Ovis aries: one gene and its partner. The protein of the gene in region 2 purifies or fractionates together with the protein of the main gene of each other region. This does not show direct contact. Links are inferred from orthologs where the notes say so. Each region holds a gene or a part of one and is shown on either strand. Other genes may lie near its edges.

Region 1 (3,653 bases), on a different chromosome or scaffold from region 2:
AGACTGAGATATACTAACCCCACCTCAATTCAAATGAATTCCAAACTAAAAGAAGGAAAAAAGTGAAAGTGTTAATCGCTTAGTCATATCCAACTCTTTGTGACCCCATGGACTGCAGCCTGCCAGGCTCCTCTGTCCATGAGATTCTCCAGGCAAGAATACTGGAGTGGGTTGCATTTCCTCCTCCAGGGGATCTTCCCAACCCAGGGATCAAGCCCAGGTCTCTTGCTTTACAGGCAGGTTCTTTCCTATCTTAGCCATCGGGGAAGCCCCCAAAGGAGGGAAGGCTAAGTTTGAGGGAAACCAACTAAGGCTCCCCTTGCCCACACTGTACATTTCTGCTCTGCTGACAGGACTACTTGAAAAGGAGAAAACGCCAAGAGAAAAATGGATTGGGTTATCGCACCTTGGGGTGGTTGACAATAAAGGGATGTCGGAGTCCATCCTCAAATGCACTTCCATCTCTTGTCACACGACAGCAAATGGCACGGGTCAGGTGCCCCTGGCTGAACAGGTAACCTGGGTACAAAAAGAAACGCACACATCTGATTATCCCCAGTGCCATGAAGCAACAGAGGCATGTGGGGAGGGTGAGGGCACAGACAGAGCCTCAGCTCCCTAGGCAGGGAGCACCTGCTGACTGCGGCTGCCCAGGATACAAAGGGATCATCAGTTAAGCACAATATATAAGGTTCCAGGTAAGGCCAAGTGCTGAGATGGCAAGGACACTAAGACACTGCAGTTTTAAGCTGCTGTGTTTCTCTAACTCACCTTGAAAGACTTGGCTGGCATATTGTTACTGAGACTGCTGCCTAAACCAATTTTCCCATCACAGCAGACGGGACACTCAGAATCAATCACTAAACCACCGAATCGAGCACACTTTGAAAAGGGGAGACATCATGTTAACACCTGGCAATGAAGTGTGCAGTTTGCTGGGATCTGGGAACCGGGATGACAGTCCGGTTTCAGCTTCCAAGACAGGTCCTTACCCAGAGTGACGGATTTGAGATACACAGGCTGCAGGAAGTGGGTCAACAGTGCCCCCTGCAGGCCCAGCACATTCCAGCGCAGGATTTTGTCGCTGCAGGACATGGTGCGGAGTCTCTCCCCCAGCCGAATGCCGTCCCACGTGGGCACAATGTCACTGGACTCCACTGGGATCGTGCCTTCCCCTGGATGAGAGACTTGGGTTAGACCTGCAAGGGCCGCTGGACCAGGCCCCTCCCCGGCATGGCATTTTCTGCTCCTTAGACTTGGGCCAGAGGCTTCGCACTCATTCGTTCTTTGAATATCTCACAGCAGCTACTTTGTGCTGGGCACTAGGCTTGGTGCCGGGAAGCAACAGTGAGCAAAACCAAATCAGATCCTTGCGCTCCTAGCGGGTTTATGGGAGTGAGGGAGCAGAAAGGGGACACTAAACAAGTCAGCCAATACACACGTAATGATTGTAGATGGTTTGAGGGAGCTATAATGGACAGGTCAGGGCATCTCCTGGGACAGGACTGTCGGGGGGCTGAGACACGAAGGAAGAGAAGAAACAGCTGAGAAAGAGTGTTTCAGACACAGAGTTCAGCAAAAGCAAAGGCCCTGAGGCAGCAGAGGGTTTAGCTGTGGAGGGACCTGACGAAGAACCAGGATGGCCGAAGTGGCAGGGCTTGCTTCCGTGTAGCGGGAGGCCATGACAGGGTGGTGGGCTTTTGGTTCTTCCTGAACTTCAATGAGATACAGTCCACCCGTTTAGAGTATATAATAATTTTTAGTGTATTCACAGACTTGTGCAGCCATCACCACAACCAATGTGAGAACATTTCATCACCCTCCAAGGAAGCCTCCTATCCCTTAGCAGTCACGCCCCATTTCCCTCCAGCCCTTTCCACCGCTGGCCCAGCTGGCCCGACTTACTTTCCTTCTTTATGGATTTTCCTATTCTAGACGTTTCAAGTAAATGAAAATGTGGGAGCCACGTAACACAAAGTCTTTCGTGACCGGCTGCTTTCCCTTCTCCACACTGTTCCCTCGGTTCCCTCGTGCTGCGGCATGTATCAAACGATACCCCGTTTTATGGATATACTTCATTTTGCTTGCCCACTCACCAGTCACTGGGGTTGTCTCTACTTTTGGGCTGTTATGAACATTGCTGCTATGAATGTTCTGTATTAGTGTTTTCTCCCTGGGTCTCCATAATGGGAGACTGCAGGGGGAAAAAAGGAGAGGAAAAAAGCAGACTCTTCAGGGCTGTAAGGCGCAGTGCCAGCGCAGCAAATGCAGCAACGACGCGGCAGCCTGCGGCCTCCTCAGCCCCAAGAGTGGCAACGCCGAGAGAGAGGGTAGCCGGTCTGTGTTAGTTTTTGTGTGGACATGTTTTCATTTCTCTTGGGGATGTTCCTAGGAGTGAACTGGTGGATCATATGGGAGCTCTGTGTTTAGACTTCAGGGTTCTGAGGAGGGAAGCGACACGACCTCTGTTTGAGGGCCACTCTGATGACTGCAGAAGGCTGGCCTGAAGGGAACAGAGTGGACGTGAGGAGACGGTGAGGAGACACGGGAGGACGGTAGAGCAGGAGGAGCTGGCAGACAAGGTGCAGAACTAGCAGCCAGCAAGGCAGGCGGGGAAGCGGGCGCGGAGTCCTGTCAACGCCTCAGGCTTGTTCTGCCTCGCTTTCTTTCCATTTTCTCCAACCTTCCCTGAGGTGATCCCATCCATTTCCATGGCCATAAGGATCAACCGCAGGAGGATAATTCCCAGACTTTTATTTGCAGCCATCTCTCTCCTCTGGGCTCTAGATGGGCACTGCTGCCTCCTATGTGACTGCAGATCCACCCAGCCGACCAATGCAAAACGGAGTCCCAATCTTCCCATAGATCTTCCCCGACCTACATCTTCCCTCCCTCTGGAGACAAGACCCTGGTATCCCACCCATGATGGCAGAAACCCTGCAGCTGTGCCCTGGCCCTGCGACGGGCCTGGGGCTTTGCAGAGCCTTTCGATGGGTGATGGAGGACGTGCCACTCACCGTTCTCTACCTTGGTGCGGAGCTTGCCTTGTTTGGGATTCTCGAAGACAGGGTAGTGGCGGGAGTCTGTGCTCTCCACGGCTCGGTCGCTGCACGACTTATCAAAGAGGGCACCATCCCCACACGGGGCCGTGCTGCAAGACAGGGGCGTCTGTTAACACCCGCCTGTGCGCATGGGTCTCTTCAGCTGCCTGGGGCTTAAGAACAGCTCCATGTGGCAGAAACGAGGCTTTTTTTTTTTTTTTCTGCAGCCTACACAGGCTACTGGAGTGGGTAGAAGTGTGAGTCATTCCACACTGGGGTGTGGACCTCAAGCAAGAGTCAAGCATTGCCCACTGAACAAGCTCTGAATTATGGACGTGGAGACCATTCAGACACCCAGCCCCAGAAAGCCGGCGGGCCGGCTCTGGTGACAACAGAGACTGTACAGACCTGATATAGAGATGGAATGACACGCTCTTTTTTATCTGAAGCTTTTCTCCTCCTTTAGCAGGTTCAAATATACTATCCTTCGCCGTCTGGGGGTTGTATTTCATTAACTCGCTGTAGAGAAACCTGTAAGAAGAAAGTCTGGTTAAGAAGACTGCTATGACTCTGGGAACAGTGGTTGCTTCTATAATCTGATCCCAAGGAAAA
Region 2 (3,653 bases):
TCTATGTATTTAAAATTATTTGTTCATAGATTTTAAGATTTCTGTGAGCCTTAATCATGCTTTGAATTCCTGAAACTCCACTTAAATAAGGGCATACAATACAAATACTGAACTTCTTAAATAAGATGAATAATCTAGATCTAAAATAAAGCTTCATTTCTAAATAAGTCCAATGCATGATGATACTCACCTCTTCACCTTCCTGGAATTATTTCTGGAACCGTCCTATAACAAAAGAAAATGGAAAATAGTTTCAGATGATTAAGTCAAGTATCCTGCTTTTCTTGGCCATCCTTTCTCCTGTACTTCTAGATGGTTCTCTGACCACATTTCTCTGTCCTTACGATTAACAACCTCATCAATTTATATGCTCTCAGTAAGCCCTGCTTTCAGTGTACTTGTCTACATCAATGTTCTCATCAATTATAGCAAAGACAGATATGATAAGAAGGGCAAAAAACACAAATTGTTGGGGCCCTGAGATTCAGTGGTTAAGATTCTGCACTTCTATTCCAAAACAGGGGGCACGGATTTGATCTCTGGTCAGGAAACTAAGACCCCATATGCTGTGCAGCACAACAGGGGAAAAAAAAAAAACAAACACACACAGAACTGCAGGGCATGTTCTACAGGAGCACGGATTCTCCGGGTATAGAATATGGCTTCCCAGAAGATCCTCTGGCCAGCAGATCTCAGCAAGAAACTATGCATTGTAATTACTCACAGTGCTAGGGAAGAAAACAGATGGGGCCCCAGGATCTAGTTTAAAACATTTTTAGGACAAATCAAGAATTTAACATTTAGCCAAAAAAGAGGAGTCTTTGACATATCTCTCAAAAATTAATATAGCTCTTCTTCAAGCATATTCACTTTTATTCTGGTAGGGGTCGTGGTGTTTTTTTGTTGTTTTTTTTTTTTTTTTAACAATTTTAGTATGTTGACACAGAGTGCAAACATCAGACTGAGATTTCTTGAGTTCCTATCACCCGCCAGCCTCAGTTTTGCAAAGTGACTGCATTATGATTAACTCAGACATTCTGTAAATGGAAAATATTTTCTCTAATCTCTTCTATTACAAACAATTTTGCAAAGAACATGCTTATACATGTATCTCTGTGCACACATACATGTGTTTCTCTAGAAGACATATCTAGGAGTAGAACTGGCAATACAGCTGGCACACCCTGAACTCCGCTACATGCTGCCAAGTTGCTCTCCAAGACAGTCAATGCCGATTTATACATCAGCCAGCAACATATACTATTACTGTAACAGCACGTGATAGGTACAAAAGGAACAGAGCTGTGTCAACACTTAGAAGAGCCAGACTCAAATTTTGCCAATCAGATGGTTTAAAATGGTATCTAGCTATTGTTTTCATTTGCATTTTCCTGATTATTATGAAGTGAAGCATCTTTTCATATGTCTGTTGCCCCCTTGGGTATCTCTTTTCTAAACTGTCTGTTCAGCTCTTTTGTACATTTTTTCTTTTTAACTGAGTTGCTTATCTTTTTCTTATTGATTTGTTTGTAGTTTAAAAAAATATTTATTTAATTCACTATGCCAGGTCTTCATTGCAGTATGCAGGATCTCGTTCCCTGACCAGGGATGGAACCCGGGCCCCTTGCATTGAGAGCATGGAGTCTTAGCCACTGCACCACCAGGGATGTCTTTCTAGTTGTTTATAAATATAATACTTCGGTAGCACTAAACATCACCACAAAAACTATCTGATTTTTAAGTTCAGTTTTTAAGTTTAGCTCTGATTTATTAAAACAGGAGCAGAAATCTATGAGTGAACCTTCTATATACCATCCAATTGATAGAAGAAAAGAAGCCAGATTATAGGAATACATGAAAAATACAAAGGTGAGTAGGGAGAGAAAGATGGGAGTGAAGAGCAGAAAAATTTTGCATGTGAGGAATGGGAGTTAATAAAGAAAGGAGAGAGAAAAGGCTGCAAAATATTTTGATTTAATAAGAGACCATAAAAAAAATTGAAAAATTATGACAGGTACTGGAGGTCACTTTTAAATGGGGAAACACAAAGGAAAATAAGATTAACTAGGAAAGTTAGAGACTAATACTATACCCCTGGAGACACGGAAGAGCTGTTTAATGTGACACCGTTATTATCACTTCTTTCTGATGCAGTTGTTGAGAAGCCATTTTCAGATGGTGATTCAGAACTACTAAAAGAAAAGAGGACAGCTATTAGTTTATGAATTCTGCCTATTTTTTGTTGATCAGTAATTGCTTTTTCTAAATTCTCCTTCAACATTAAACATTTTCACAAATATCTGCTCTTTCAGGCTGCAATCTGAATTTGTCTGTCACACCTGTTTGTCCATACTTACGATGTACTCACTGCTGGAGAGCTTCTTTCAACATCCCCACATGCGGTATTGAAACAATTAGAGGACTGGTCAGCTCTCTGAAAGATTTAAAAGTACAACTAAATGACTTCTTAGAGTGGCGTAGTCTCTGTGAACCAACTCCCACATTTATTTCCCCACACTGACCACATTCACAGCCATAAATACAGGATTAATACATTTTTATGGATGTTTGATCTGAATTTAAAAAACATTGAGCTGTCATGAGAACTGTGATCCTTCTGAAGCGTCACGGCCACAGGGCTCATTGGTGGGACACAGAATGAAGGAATGCTTTTGCTATGTGACTGGCTGTCTTGGCATCACCTAAATATCATTTAACTTCAAATCAACTTCAGAGAGAATTTTAAAATATAGAAATCAAACCCCAAGGCAGTACATACCATTGTTTCTGATTCTATCTTTTCATAAGCCAGTTTGGCAGCCAACTGTTTTGCCTCCTGTTTAGTGGAACCCACACCACTACCATATTCTTCTTGTCCAATTTTGCATATATAATAAAACCTAGGGGAAATGATAGAGTATTAAACCAAATACCGAAAAACAGTAAATGTAACTCATGTGTTTTCAGAAAAAAAAACCATATTAACAAAGGGCTAAATATAACACCAATTTAATAGATAGATTAATAGTTCATATCTTACTTAATTTAAAATTTCAACAAGGGCTTCCCTGCTGGCATTGTGGTAAAGAATTTGCCTGCCAATGCAGGAGAAACACGGGTTCAATCCCTAATCTGGGAAGATCCTACATGCTGTGGAGCTACCAAGCCCATGTGCCACAACTACTGAGTCTGTTCTCTAGAGTCCTGCAGCCGCAGCTACTGAAGCCCACGCATCCTGGAGTCCGTACTCTGCAACTGGAGAAGCCACCGCAATGAGCATGACAACTAGAATGTAGCCTCCGCTTGCTGCAACTAGAGAAAGCCCACGCAGTAATGAAGACCCAGCACAGCCAAAAATAACTAAATAAATAAAAACTATATTTAAAAAGGCAAGATTTAATATATATATATATATTTTTTTTTTTCAATAAGATGGCTAATCAGTTTACCAGAATAACCAGGATTGGCTAATAGCCCAGCTTCCATTCTCTAGGGAACTTCTAACTCTTTGCTGCTTCATTGAAAGATGTGGCATTAAGGTACCAAGTGGTGATTTTTTAAAATTCCCCAAAAGTCAAAAGACATGGAGGCAGAGAAAGAAGAAAGAGACCTAATGAATTTTTCAGAGATGTTCAACTGGCATGATAAAACCC

What was found. Proteins that work in one complex are often made in the same cells at the same time.
Region 1: the proteins of EIF2AK2 (region 2) and ADAR purify together in Homo sapiens (affinity purification with mass spectrometry; 3 studies listed by BioGRID and IntAct, with this or other methods). This does not show direct contact. The link is inferred for Ovis aries from reciprocal best matches to the Homo sapiens genes EIF2AK2 and ADAR.

Annotation. Positions count from the first base shown.
Region 1 is NC_056054.1:104,824,227-104,827,879, forward strand, and holds part of ADAR (double-stranded RNA-specific adenosine deaminase), read right to left. Parts: intron 3,573-3,653; coding exon 3,450-3,572; intron 3,152-3,449; coding exon 3,018-3,151; intron 1,176-3,017; coding exon 993-1,175; intron 520-992; coding exon 407-519; intron 1-406. UniProt on the Homo sapiens protein: Catalyzes the hydrolytic deamination of adenosine to inosine in double-stranded RNA (dsRNA) referred to as A-to-I RNA editing.
Region 2 is NC_056056.1:86,926,196-86,929,848, reverse strand, and holds part of EIF2AK2 (interferon-induced, double-stranded RNA-activated protein kinase), read right to left. Parts: intron 2,901-3,653; coding exon 2,780-2,900; intron 2,435-2,779; coding exon 2,358-2,434; intron 2,193-2,357; coding exon 2,093-2,192; intron 226-2,092; coding exon 191-225; intron 1-190.